2 linked regions of the Lonchura striata genome follow. The protein of the gene in region 2 interacts with the protein of the main gene of each other region in a pairwise test. Links are inferred from orthologs where the notes say so. Each region holds a gene or a part of one and is shown on either strand. Other genes may lie near its edges.

Region 1 (7,680 bases), on a different chromosome or scaffold from region 2:
GTCTGCGAGCAGCTTGTCACTGCCACATGTATAGCATCAGAAAAAAAAAAGTGTCAAACCAGCCATCCCTTTTTTGGAAAAAGCCAATGCTGCTTATAGCTCTCACTCCCACTTCTCCCAGCAGGAAACAAGGCGGCTTCCCCAGACCTTTTCCAGCACTGCACTTTGTGTGGAAGTTACCTTTCTGCCTGTTCAGGTTTAAAAATATCAAAGAGCAAAAGGTAACCCTGTATGGCACGTAAACATGCCACTGTGAGCTTTGAGGCTGTGCTTTGTACCACTCTTAGCCCGAGTGTTTGTTCTGTGATACAGGTGAATAAAATGGTCATGTGCCTTGAAAGCACATGGGAAGAAAAGCACCTTTTTCACTTATTGATGCTCCTTCACAAAACACACACTTCTCCACTTACAAGTTTCAAAGCATTTAAGAAATATTAATTCTGCAGCAGAAAAACCTCTAAGGTATAACTGTCCTGTCATTCTAGAGAGGAGTAGCAACATGCCAAAGCTAAGTGCTCTGTTTCTTATGCAGGATCCTGGAAAGAAATTTAATATATTGTTTTTTAAAAACAAAATAAAACAAAGAAAATCCCCAGAGCTCACACTTCATCAAGGAAATGCAGCTTGGATGCTAAAAGTCAAACCAGCATCAAGTTATGGATGCTGGGATCGTCAAAGTTCACTTTGCACAAGTGCTTATCTGCACTTGCAAGCAGTACAGACACCATCTTAAGTACTGTCCTAATCTTCAGGTATTAGCTTAGAAAACGCTGGATTTATGGGAAAAAAAGATAAACTTTGCTTCCTTTAGACTCCCACTGTGCAACATATATACCCACCCACGTTCATTTAAAAATTGAACAATCTGTCACATTTGCCCATTATGGTTATAAAGCAGAGCTCTGAACCCATCCCAGTGGATACCTTTCTGAGTCTGGCCACAAAAACCACATCACATTTTGTCTCTTCCCAGTGTGTGAAGATCTCCCAGACAGCTCGGCAACTAGCAAAGGAATCTTTCAGGAAATACACCTTCCTCCTGTCTCCTTCCTTAAGATCTCTCTTTGGGTATGCTCCTACTTTTGTTTATGCAGGAGAGAGATACTTGTGAAATGTAATTAACCACTGGAGAAGATGATGTTTCTGCTTGAGAGTGTGCTCTCTGCCCCAGGCTCCAGCTGCATGACAGCAGCTCAAACACGGTAATCAAAATGAGCGTGGCTGAATACATGGCCAGATTAATGAATCCTGCAATTACACTGGGAATACACTCAGCTCTTCCCAGAGAGATGGATAAAAGGGTGCAAAGGCAGCATGGCCACAAGCACACTGTTTCCAGAAAGCTTTTTAAAACTTTGAATGAGAGACGCCAAAATGCTCGGCAAACGCAGCGATAGAAAGACTAGTCACAGGATTAGGGTGACCTTTTGTAACCAGGGCATTCAGAGGTAAACTGAAGAGCAATGCCAGCGTGTTATGTGTTTGCATCAGTCCTTGGAAAAGAGCCAGAGGACTGTAAAGGGAACTTAAAGAGGATCTAAGCTCTCCTCTAACCAGTAATACCATAAAAGCCCACTGGAAATAGAAAGACAAGACCTGAGGAAACGCCGAGACTTTTTTATGGAAACAGGGCTAAGCATTGCCACGCTCTGTGATAAAATATTAAGCCAGCTTCATGCCCCTCAGGGAACACCCATGGTCAAGATTTTCTTCACAATCACAGCCTAAAACCATGCCCGGGACGCCCCAAAAGAGCACCTTTGCCTTCCTCAAAACCTCGCCGCCGCCGGCAGATGAGCGGGGTTAGGACCCGCTCCTGTGAGCGCGGCTCTCCTGCCCCGCAGCCCTGGAGCTGCTCTCAGCCACGTCCCCGTTCAGCAGCGCCCCTTTCCTTCCTTCCTTCCTTCCTTCCTTCCTTCCTTCCTTCCTTCCTTCCTTCCTTCCTTCCTTCCTTCCCCCGCGGGCTCGGGCCCCGCACCCCTCCGGGAGCCCGGCCGGGTACCTGTTGCTGCCGGCGGCGCTGCCGCGGCTCACAGCCCGCTCCGGGACGCCGCTCGCCCGCCGCCGCCCAGCGCTCCTCGGGCACCGCAGTGCCCCATCCCGGGCGGCAGCGCCCGCAGCTGGAAAACTAATAAACAGCGAATAATAATTTATATATTTAAAAAAAAAAGATAAAATTAAAGTTTTAGAATGAAAAAAAAAATAATTAAAAATTAGGAGAAGCGAGAAGAGCTCGTCTCCCGTCGCCGCGCACCGCCGCTCTGGCAGCGAGCGAAGCCGCTGCCGGCTTTTCCTTGCGGAGCTGCGGGAGGCAGGCGGAGGCGGAGGAGGGGGCGGGCGGCCGGCCGCGCAGCAGCGCCGCCTCCGCCCCCACCCCGCGGGCAGTGCGGGCTGCGGAGCCCCCCGGGCTCGGCCCCGCGGGATGCGGCGGAGCCGGCGCTGCCGGTGCCTCCGTACCTTTTTGGGAGAGGCGGCGGTGCGGCTCTTCCTTTTTTTTGTTCGATGCGTCTGGCCCCTCAGGCCGTTTGTCCCGAAGGCGGAACATCTGCAAAATCCCTCTGACCCTTCCCGCCTGGAATGGGGCAGGGAACGGGCTCCCGCAGCTCGCCTTCCCCGCAGCCGGTGGACCACTCGCTGCAGCCTCCGTTGCCTTCAGTAGTGTGTATGAAAGCTCTAAATTTGGATATTGGGCGGGCTGAAGACAGCAGTTAAAGGCGAATATAAATGAAATAACATTGCAATTAATGGACCTTGAGTTTCCTTCTTTAAGCGTTTTTCTGTTACCCCAAGAAAAAAAAATGGCAGAAATACTGTATTTTCCCAGAGACTCTGAGGTATTTTCTTCAAATTTAGTCTTCCTTCAAAAATGGATAGTCCTATTTACTATCAATATATCTCTCTAGAGAGATGGATTTTGCATATATTTGTTGCTATCCTGAGGACTTCTTCAATTCTCTTCTGTGACTTTTTTTAATAGTGGACTTTACATCAGGCAACAGAAATACCAAACGCACGTTGTATTTTCTATTTGATTTTCTGTTCCTCTGCCAGCATTTAAAGCTGTCATAGGGTCCTTCAACAAGCTCCTCTTGTGCCTCTAAAACAGCTGCAAGTGCTTCTTTTCTGGGGGGAGGGGGGAGAGGGAGTGAGGGGCAGAGGGAATCCCTGGCAAATCTATTGGCCAACCCAATTCCTAGGCTGGTAAATGGACACTATTTGGAAGGAGGCTTGAGAAGTCAATGCTGATACCCTCCCCATATCCCTGTATCTTTTCCCTTTTAGGTCAGGACAGTTAGACTCACCACTTTGAATGCAAATGTTTTCATTGAGTACACTGACCTGTCACACAGAGGATGATGTTGTATGAAGAAGTTAAGCAAATGACAAGGAAGACAGAGCTAGGTTTTTTACAGAGCATTGTGCATGTAAAACAATCCCCCAGACTGTCCCTGACCAAAATTCCAAGCTGCCAATTCCAGATGACCTATCATCTTCAGTAATTTTCAGCAGGAATAATGAATATGAGTTATTTATACTGTATGCTGAAAATAAACCCTGTAGCCTTAGAAAGTAAAAATGAGACAAAATGACTCCAGATTTAGTAAAAGCAGAGAAGCATGCTCTTCACACTGGTGTGCAGACCTCTGGGGCCTAGAGGCCGTTTCCAAGGTTTCTGAGTTCAGATGGGCTCTACAGCAATCAAGGCTGTGGTATTTCCAGAGGCACCCATTTCTCCACTAGAAAAAGTGTAGGGGCTATTGCCAACACAGTGTCACTGCTGTAGCTCCAAGGCAAAATTTTAAGGGTGACCTTTCTACATCTCTGACTGAATGGACTATTCTCCCATTTCATGTGTGTCACACAGGATGTGAACTCTGAGGCAAAGGCGGAGGAATAGCTTTCTGGAAAAAGCATCTGTGCACTTTGGGATATGGAATGCCAGGGAAAGAGGAGAGAAAATATTTGTGGCAACGCTGAAAGCTATCATCATGCATACTTAATATGTATTTGAGTCCATTTCAGCCTTTTAGAGGGTGGCAGCTCTCACTGTGGAAGCCTGGTTATCTGTTAAAGGTTTTCAATGCCAGAGACTAATTGCAACATCTCACTTCAACCTGGAGCCTCCTACAGTTCTGGTCAATTGTTACCAACTCCCTCTGGCCTTTTTGATCTTATCTTGCAGAAGATTTTTTAAACTTAAAGTTGCAGATGCAAATTACCTCATTCATATTGCAGCCTCCTCTTTCAAGGAAATATCCTCCATCCTATGCAAATGCATGTGATAGGGATGTATGAGCTGTTTCTCTTGGTTTCTCAATATAGTTTAGCATAGCAAATGCAGAAAGCTACTCTCCTCCTCTCCATCACACCCAGCCCTACACACACTCCCACTTCTCTGCCCTCAGTGCTCGTTAAAACAGCTGGGAGACTGAGTAGGTTGATTAATGCTCTAGATAAAATCTTTGCCCCACTTAGTCCTTCTGGACATGTATTCATCCTGACACACATGCTTTTGAAAGGCTGGGACAGTCATTCCACGTGTGTCTTGTTTTGCTAATTCAGTGGAAATTGCCAGAGAGCTCTGTCTCCCTCCATCATCCGGCAGGAGCTGAAGCTGCCATTGTATTGTGGCTGTGATCATGCTACTATGCCTATAAATTATTCACGGTATTGCAGCGTAATCTTCTGTTATGTTAAAAATAGGTCATCATGAGTGTCCCCAGTGAAATTCTAAGTGACAACAGCTGATTTTAGCTTTGTCTCCAGAAAACAGTGACCTTTTCAAAGCAGTAATTGACAATTATGGTCTACTTCTGTCTCTGAGACAGCTCCAGTGCACCTTCACAAACATTTATTCTCAGCAATGGTAACCCCACATTATACTTGAGACAACTAAACCAGAGCCACTAAATTACCTGCTGAGCTTTGCTAAAGCACTTTGCTTTCTATTAGCCTTTGCTTCCAGGCCAAAGAGTAAATAAGGATTATAAGAGAAGAGATTATAGTCTGAGAATACCTAAATGCTCTGCTCCTCCCAGGCACTCAGAAAGCTTCTTGAAAGGGCTGAGCAGGATTTTCTGACTGATATGCATCAGTTACACATCCGTCTGGGGGGGTGGATATATTGAGAGATACTTCACTTTTCCCATTGCCACACAGACTCCAGCCCACTGAATCCCCTGAATCGAGAGAGCAGGAGGCTATCAGGCCCATTGCAGACTAGACAAACCTGGAAAGGGGGAGCATGACCCAGTAGTCTGGACAGAGGTCTGGGGGAAACTCTCTTTTCCCCATAAGATACTGTGTGGGAGGGCTCTGTGTGGACCCCCTGAAAAAGCTGAATATTGTTGAAATTTCCCTGCTTGCTGTGGGGATGGATGTCTGTTATGCAGACACAAAGACTTAGGCCTGGCTGATTTCATTCACCTGAAAGCAAGGACTGGTAGTGGGTGGCAATGCTCAGCAGACCATGCAGACAGCAGTTTGCATGGAGGTCTCTTGTTAGCATGTTCAGAGCAACAGGAGGCCAAAGGAGATTGGGGGATGGTTGGGCAGACCACAGCTTTGAGCTTTGCGTGTCTGAGGTAGATCAGGCCTGCCCTAGACTTTAAGGAAAACAATTTATACCTGGTTTTTCCTGATGTAACTTGTCTTTGCTGTGGTTCTGTGTAACTCCCATGCTCAGAAAAGATGCACAAGGCATCTTCATATTGCTGATGGACATCCCACGGGACATCTCCAGTAGGTGTCACACCCAGGGAAGTCTTCTGTGGAAACAAAGGGTGCAAACCTGACTCCTCTTAACTGGGGATTTTGGTCCAGAAATATAGGTAAATGATCATATTTGAGTGTGTGGAACATGGCAGATGCTGGAACCATCACTAGGGAAAGTTTTTAGGGGAGAGGTAAAAGACAAGACCCTGACACCTGCCATGAACAATCTGGGCAAGATGTATGCATTAACATTCTGACCGTATGCAAGTTTGCCATTACTCTTTCCAACTATGCATGTCAAATTGTAGCCACAATTCTACTGCACCCTGCCCATGCTGCTCTTTGGATTGTCTCTGTTCCTTATAGCTTCTCTGTCCAGTTTGTTGCACATTCATTGCCATCCTGTAGCACTTCTTGCTCTCTTTCTAGAAGAATTTGATACCTACTTGTTTTTCTCTCCTCTAACCACTGTGCAATCATTTCCCCCCTTTTACTTCCCATCACTGTGTTCCTGCTCCACCCTCAAGTTCCTCATTTCTCATGATGGTGCTTTTGCAATTCTTTCCACTTGTTGCTCTGGGGCACTTAATGGGGAAAAGTTACTAGTGCTGATCTTCTGCAGTGATTCAGGAACAAATTTCATTTTGGACTTCTGGCCAGATGCTCAGCACAGTTGTATCCTTGGGAATGACCAAAGCATAATGCAGTAGTTGTGTCCTGTGGCATGGTGGTCAGGACGCACTTGGTATGTCAAGGAACAGCTATGGATACAGAGGGAGAGGGCCAGGGACAGAAAAAGGAGTCACCTTCAGCTGCATTTGTGGTGGTCTGAGATAGCTGCCTTCAGATCAAGAACCCCTCAATGGGCTGTGCCTCTGGCAGCATGTGAGGGAGGTGTATGCACAAGCACACATCCTACCTATCCTCACATATATAACTTAGGGGAGCAGCACAAAAGAGCCACTGACTGCATTTTTTTCTCCAGAACCTGTTTCAAAATCAGCACTGATGCCTCTTCTGGGGAGGTTTTGCATGGCAATGTTCATACAGGGTTGGAGGGAGAAGCACATTCCAGTTTCTCAGACTGCTTAGCAACCAGGGCTGGCTGAGCCGCTCTTACGTGCACACCAAGTGTGTGGATGGTGTGTCTAGTAGTGCAGCTCTATCCTTATATTTCCCCTTTTATTGTTTTTGAAAATCAGTCCTTGTTTTCTAGTTAAGGCACTTGAAAAACTGCTGTAAAGTAATTTTTGCTTTCCTGGGCAGCTGGAAGTCAGCTACACTATGAGATGATCAAAGCTATTACAGGAGGGATTGGAGACTTGAAGAGACAGGTGTGGCACCATCAGCCTGCTTTTTGGGAGCATGACTGCAGGACAGTGTCATCCATGCTGCTGGTAATAGGCTGGCTTGAAGTCCTGTTGCTGGACAGCCATAAAACCAGCTTGCCCAGAGGAGTGCAGGCAGTGGAACACATTGCTTTCCATGGGTCTGCAGCATGTGAGGTTCCTGCTCAGGACTGTCTTAGTACAGTCAACATGCTTAAGATCAAGAGGACCCTGTTAGACCATTTCCAGGAATGGTTTCAGCTTTGTAGACAGAAAGTCAATATGTTCCTAGCTTCCTTGCTGGGATCCTCTTGAATCATTAGATAATCTCTTGCCTCTTACTTGTTTCTTGGCTCTCAAATGCCCAGACCAGTGTCCCTGCCACAACCTTCACCGTCCATCATGACCGCAGGCTGAGATTCTGAATCTGGGGGTTCTCTTAGGAACTGTGACCATCTCTTCCCATGTTATCCAGCAGTAATGCCTGATTCTGAAACTTGCTGCTGACATAAGGACTATAGTTAAAATGTGGCCCCAGCCCATGTTCACCTTGCACCCTCACCTACATTTGAGGCAATTTTGGGCAAGCTCTAAAGCACAGAGGAGGAGAAAACCTTTCTTTATACATGCACAAGCA
Region 2 (6,994 bases):
CCATGGAGGCAGAGGATAGGCTTGGAGACACGCAGTTCTTGGAAGGCCAGTGTTCCTCTGAGTCTCAAGGCCTTCCAGCCAGGATTCTCTCAGCAGGAACACAGAGCTGCTTTCTCCTGCTGCAGTAGTCCTGCAACAGGGAAGCCTGACCAAGCCTTGGAGGTGCCTGTGCCAGACACTTGAGCAGCACTGATCTGGGGCTTGTAGGTGTCCTTTCTCCAACCACTGCTAGAGGAGGCCAGCAAATTTTTGGAGCTTCTGCTCCCCCTCTGCATATCAAAGGCTTTGGATTTCCCTATCTGTGTGGACAAGCAGTTCTCTCTTCTGTGAAAACCCTATCCAGAGCACAGGAATTCTCCCTTCATCAGGGCTGTCATAACAGCAACATGCACAGCAGCCATGGGCCCAGCTGCAAACTACCACCCATGGACAACACCAGTGAGCTAATTGCTACAGCAAGGGAGAAGGAGGAGGCTAAAGGACTTGCTTTTAAGGTGGCCACTTCCTTTAGGACTTCAGACAGGTGACTTGCCCTTCAGGATTCTTTATCTCTGAGGCAGATCAAAAACTAAATTCATTAAAGCCTGCATTTGGCCTAAATGTGGTGTAGACTATGCAGAGAGGAAGACTGATGTCCTACATGGAAGAAATAGATCTCCTTTTGGTTTGAACTCTGCTGGGTTTACTTTTTTTTTTTTTTTTTTATTGGCACCATTGGGAGAGTTCCCATTTGCTTAATTAGGCCACATATGAGGAAACAGAAAAGACACTTGGCATATTTGGCTTGACCTGCTAATTTCCATTGTTCATTAATCTGAACTGCCTGGGTTTAGATAAAAGTTTGTGACATTAGGAGCTGGATAGCCAAGTCAGCTGGGAAGGATAAGTTGTTGGGGATTTTTGGGTTGGTTTTGTTTTTTCTACAGACACAAACCCACGTTTTTATTGTGGTAGACAGATGCTTTACACTGCTCAGTTTATAGCCCTAGAACAAAGACAACATTGACATACCATTATGTTTGGTTGGCAAGCATTTCTAGATACTACTCCCAGTTTCTGACAAGATTTTTAAAAGCAAATTATAATGCAATTAACTAATAGGTAAGTTATGGAAGCACTCTTAGTAAATCATGTCAGTGCTGGGGTGCTTGAAGGAAGCTCTCAGTTTCCTGGCACAGAAACTACATTTACTCTTCAGTGAAGTGTATAGCTTGACCAAAAATATAACCCATGGTATATTCCCTAAGGGAAAAAAAAATTTATCAGCTACTGCTTCCAATTATTTCTTCTCAGTTCTTGTTGTTTTCCTGCTAGCTGTAAACACATTTGAAAGACTGTCTGACTTAAGTAGAACTGATTGTAAAAGGTATCCCTGCAATAAAAATATCTGCAAGAGATATTTGGGGTATTTTAGCTTTTCATGGCAGTCAATAAACCATTTTTTCCCCTGTATGGGCCCTTACCTTGGCAAAATAAAATAATTGAGGGGAGGAGGAGAAAGGGAGGGGCTTTGATTTATGACCAAACTAATAGTTTCAGAATACATTGCTTTGATACATAAACAAAGTCCCCAAATGTTGTGTGAGAAGAGCTGCACTTCTGCAGCAGTTTCTCACCCTTGACACAAACCTGGCCATCATGAAAGTCAGGATGAAGACTGTTTTGAATAGCACACGCAAGACAAGAAAAGGTAGCAAGTTCACACTACAGACACCTTCAGAAGATGTGGTTTACAGAGAGAGTTAGACTGAGGATCCTCATTGCTGTCAGTAGAGTTTGTTGGCTACCTTGATTAAAATCAGTTTTGAATCCATTACAAGATACCTATTCACCAAACTGGGAAAAGTCAGCTCCTGAAGTACTTTCATTAACATCATGCCCAAACAGTACCCACCTGAGAGAGCAGGACCTGTGGCCACAGACCCAAATTCAATCAGTGCTCTCCCTTGGGCAAGGAGAAGGAAAAGGAAGCACACACACTGTGATCAAAACACCCGATAGTGTTTTGGAAACAAAGGCAAAAATTCCCAATGGATCATTAAAAAAAAGCAACAGTAGGCCACAAGGATCTCTATTAAACAGTAATAAAAAACAATTATGAAAAGAACCTATGGCCTAGAAATAACTGATTTCTGATTCAAGCCTAACCAACCCGATGTTCAAACCACAGATAATTTCCCTATAAACTTCAGGAAAATGAACTTCTGTCTCAGCAACAGAGGTGTGAAGGCAAACTGGTCAGCCACAGAATAAACTATCATGGGCCTCTGACTGTGCACACTATCAGTCATCCATCAAGAACTGGTACTAAGCTGTAAAAACCATTTACCACATTGAATCAAACGTCTGCTTGGTAAGAAAAAGTCACCTTCCTTGCAATGCTGGCAGAACAAGCCAGTCCCAGGGAGCTGCTTACTGAGAGGAGCTAAGCAGCACCCGTCCTCTACAGGTACCAGAGCAGTCCATAAAAAGGTCAGCCTAAAGTTAGCTGGCAATGCAAATGTTGTCAAATGAGGGAATGGGGAGAAGCACTGCAGATCATGCATCAGAAGCAGCACAGCATCAGTTTCTCTTACAGTGTCCAGGTTAAACAGACCATCCCCAAGTGCCAGCTGAAGGCTGCTGAGCCTGTTCACAAGGGAGCCCTGAGAGACACCAGAGGCTGTTTGTCACCAACCCTCTCCATGCACACATTCCCTTTGCAGTGATGACCTCACCCCGGGGCCCCTGAAGCCAGTTCCACATGTTGAACCTCCTCAGGTGGGCAAGGATGGAAATGATGAAGTAGCATCCTTCCTCCAGTGCATCAACCACAGGTATCTGCACCCTGGGATGAGGGCAGTCCTTGCCATTAAGCTCACCACAGACAAACTCAGGAAATGCTGTGATTCCAACCCTTCCAGCCCCTGCCTTGTGCTGCCTGTGAGCCCCTCAGCTTTCTCCAGCCCCAACGGCACAGCTCAGTGCCTGCTAGGAGCAGAGCTCATTTGCTCCACTGGAATAAATAGGCTCACAGACAAACAGGGTACTTTGATACCACTGCTCCCAACCACCTTTAACTGAATCAATTAGGTTGTAAGACCTGCAGTCATCAAATCCTGCCTATGACCAAACTCCTGGATGTCAGCCAGACCATGGCACTGAGTGCCTCAGCCAGCCTTTCCTTAAACACCTCCAGGGACAGTGACCCCACATCTCCCCAAGCAGCCTGTTCCAATGTCTGATCACCCCTGCTGTGAAGAAATCCTTCCTGATGTCCAGCACAGTGCAGTTTGAGACTACATCCTCTCATCCCATCTCTAGTTCCCAGGCAGGGGACGCCAATTCCCACCTGGCTGCAGCTTTCTGTCAGGAGTTTTACAGAGTAGCATAGCCACCCCTGAGCCTCCTTTTCTTCAGGCTAAACACCCCCAGCTGCTCCTCACAGCACTTGTGCTCCAGACCCCTCACCAGCTTCACTGCCCTTCCCTGGACCCTTCTGGTCCTTCCGAGCTGAGGGGCCCAGAACCACGCACTGGACCGGAAGGGAGAGACGAACCGCCCACAGACAAACCGGGCATCGCGATTCAGGGCCCCACCACAGCCGCCTTTCCCGCAGTAGATGCGGAGGGACCGTGCCCAGCATCGATAACGCCTCACGGAGCAGGCACCGATGAGGCCGCAAGGAGGCGAGCAGCCTCCCTTAAGAGAACACCAACAGGCCCAAAGCCAAGCCCACAGCCCAGCCCCGCCGCTCCCCAACTGCCGCGGCGTAAATAGCACCGGCACCTTTTATAGCGGCCCTTCCCGGCAGCCCCCGCGCGCGGCCGCGCCGATTGGCCGCGGGGCTGGCAGCCGCGCGCGGCCGGGCGGGGCGGCTCGGGAGCGCGCCGCGCGCGGGGCCGGGAGCGCGCACGGCCCGCCCCGCCCCGCCCGTTTCCGCCGCCGCCGCCGCTCGCGCTCGGGCCTGTGGAGCAGGAGGCGGCGGGAGCCGGACCAGCGCAGGCCGCAGGTACCGGGGGGCTCTCTGCCGACCGCGGGGCGCGGGGTGGGGGGGCGGATCGCCGGCCTCTCTTCTCCCCTTCCCCCTTCCCGCCGCCGTCGCCGGGTGGGGCCCGCCCGCCCCCGCCGGGAGTCCGCGGCCTGCGGGCGGGGGCGGCCGGGCCCGGCCGGGCCTCTCGCCGCCACCGCCGCGCACAAAAGGGGAGGGCTGGCGGGGGTGGCCCCTCCGCGAGTTCCTGGGGCCGGTAACGGGGCCCTTTCCGGGCCGCGGGAGCGGGGGAGGGGAGGAAGGGGCGCGGCCCCGGGGCTCTCCCGCGGGAGCCGCCCGCGCCCCGCCCGGGACCCGGTACCGCCGCCGGGCCGTGGGCGGTGTGGCGGGGGCGGTGCTGCCCCCCCGGCCCCGCGGGGTGACACGGGCGGCACCGGGGGTGCCCCGGTGAGTGGCAGCTTGTTGTGTGACGTCAGCGGCGCCGGGGCCGCGCCCCGCCCGCACCGGGGGTCGCCGTCCCGGGCCCCCCGCGGCACACGGGGCCGTGCCGGGCTGCCTCTGCAAGGGCTGCCGGGGGGTTGTGCGCCGCTGAACTTTTATCTCGGGGAGGAATCGGCCTTTGGAGCGAAACTGGAAAGTTTGGGCGGTGTTTTTTGGTGGGGCGGCTGCAGCAGGCCGGGGAAGCGCCGGGGGTGGTTTGACACCACCGGAGCCCCGACAGCCTCACCTGGGCTGAGAGCTGCCCGGTGTTAAAATACACCCCGCATAAACCTTTTCTGCCACGACACCCATTCTTTCGAGCGCGAGAGGAACCTCGAGACTACTGTTTGAGTTTTAAAAATAAGACCCAAAAACTTCTCCCAGAGGTCTGGAGAGTTAGTTATTAGTGATACTCAGGATGAAGTATTGTTCCCAGTCCAGTGATACCACAACTACTTTGATATCCCTTTAAGAGGTGTCTGGAACGGGGGTTTGTTTGTTTTTAGTTGCTGCCTCATATCCAGCTTTTGTTTCTCTCCTCGTACAGTTCACCTGTTTGTTGCAGGGAATTCTTCACCAGCAGTGGTTCCCACCCGCCCTTTCTCTGTGTGATACAGTATTTGGAGAAAATTAAACACTAAGACTTCCCTAGGTAATGTTAAGTTTGTTGTTGCCTTCTCCCCCCACCCCCAGAGCTTAGCCTAAGTGTCAGTTCTGCCATCTGTGTGAATTTGAAATGGTAAACTTCTTCCAGAACCAGACTTCTGTTGTCTTCTTTTTATCTCAGAAATTTCAAAAGTTAATGGTACGTGTCCTAAATGTTTGTGAATCAAAGTATTAGGTTTTCGCATGGCTTTATTTGGGGATTTTTTTTTCCAGTATGGAAATATTAAGTCTTTCCCTCCCTGAAAAGATTGTTTGTGAAAATATTTGCTTGCTGTTGAAGACTCTTTTGATACATGTGTGCTTTCTTCCTGCCCTGTTCTGGTCTTATCCAGGTCTCCAGCCACACAACAACGGCATTTCTCGTTCAAATATACACAGGCTAATTCTGGTACTGATTTGGACCAAGGCTGCATGTTTAAAAAAAGAAAAATGTTAGCCTTATTTCACTTTAATTAGTTCACTGGAATGTTTAACAGCACATTCAGCATAAATGTTTGACATAAATTTGTATGATTTTTACAATAATCCATAAATTTGGATGATTTGTATCATTTAACACTAGAATACATGTGTTTGTCAAAAATAATTTTTCAAGACATGAATGCACCATCACATAAAGGGCAAAATAAATTCAGTCACAGCAGAACTGAGCTGAGCAGCTCTCATGTTATCCCTGCTCACCAAGCTCAGGCTCTGGCCAAGTGCCACAGCAGCCAAGCGCCAGAGGCGGGGAGTTCTCTGAGCCAGGAATTGACAGTAAAAACATCCTAAATGATCTTAACTGCCACCAGGATGTAGGACTGGGGATGGCTCTTCAGATAAGCAAATTGCAAATGAAAACGTTTAGGAGAGGTCTTAGAAGTATCATCATCTTTCCTCATTTTCCGATAGTAACTCTTGGGTTTCTGGTTTTTAGACTTAATCTTTTTCTCTCAATGTATTTAAGTTGCCCAGAATCCTGTGGGCTCTTCCTCACATCTTGTCTGCTCTGTGCTAGATATTTCTGACCTTGGCTACCTTTTCATTAGCCAAGTGTGCCTTCTCAGTGTCTCTACCATTTTACTCCCTGCTGCTTATGGTATCATCAGGTTCTTTCCAAGTCTCCACTCAAACCACCATCTTTTACCTTTAGTACTAAATCTCATCTCTCTCTCTTGTTCTGCTCTGTTGCCTTACAATGTGTTTTTAAACGTAGTTTGAACTAACGTGGAGGAGAAGTGTAATGGGGTGAATTTAAGGAAGTTAGCATGTTGATAAAGTACAGCAAGTGTGCCCTTGAAATCTTAAATTAATCCATTATGAGCTTGTCCTAGTAAAACATATAATAAGGGTGAAACTCTGTAATAGAGAACAGTGCAATGCAAAATAAATGTGCCAAATGACAGCAGACCTTCATTCCATTCCCAGGGCACAGCTATGCACCTGCACACACCTGAATGCATGATGAAAATCCTCTGCTCCTTGCCTTTTGGTATAATTCCTCTCCTGCTATAAATAGTGGGTAGCTAAATAGAAAGAGGTGGTTGCTTATTACTTTTTGGTAAATCTCAAAAATAAGCAAAAATATCCCAAAATACTATCTGTGGTACACTGGTTAAGTTACTGTTACTTTTCCACTGCTGTTCAGTGTCTGGGTGCCTTCTGGTCTTGGTGGGATCTGTTACCACTCATTCTGAACAGTGAATAAAGTAGCAAAGGCTAATTGGAGTTGGTAGAGTGACACTGCCCTGTCCATCCTCTCTTCTGTCCTTTTCCTATCACCATATTTTCATTTGGGAAGGACATTTGAGACTATAAAAGTTGAATTAAAATACCTATAGTCCACCTTTTAATTAATATATTTGCCATCCACACAACTAAAAGCCAGTCTTTCCTAAA

The links. The genes of interacting proteins can lie anywhere in the genome.
Region 1: the proteins of RHOA (region 2) and RIPOR2 interact in binary tests that used the Homo sapiens proteins (3 or more experiments, as listed by UniProt). The link is inferred for Lonchura striata from reciprocal best matches to the Homo sapiens genes RHOA and RIPOR2.

What each region holds. Positions count from the first base shown.
Region 1 is NC_134603.1:59,942,620-59,950,299, forward strand, and holds the start of RIPOR2 (rho family-interacting cell polarization regulator 2), read right to left. Parts: upstream 3,042-7,680; 5' UTR 2,546-3,041; coding exon 2,458-2,545; intron 2,318-2,457; exon of another isoform or gene 2,003-2,317; intron 1-2,002. UniProt on the Homo sapiens protein: Acts as an inhibitor of the small GTPase RHOA and plays several roles in the regulation of myoblast and hair cell differentiation, lymphocyte T proliferation and neutrophil polarization.
Region 2 is NC_134614.1:10,402,821-10,409,814, forward strand, and holds the start of RHOA (transforming protein RhoA), read left to right. Parts: upstream 1-3,889; 5' UTR 3,890-3,991; intron 3,992-4,997; 5' UTR 4,998-5,102; intron 5,103-6,994. UniProt on the Homo sapiens protein: Small GTPase which cycles between an active GTP-bound and an inactive GDP-bound state.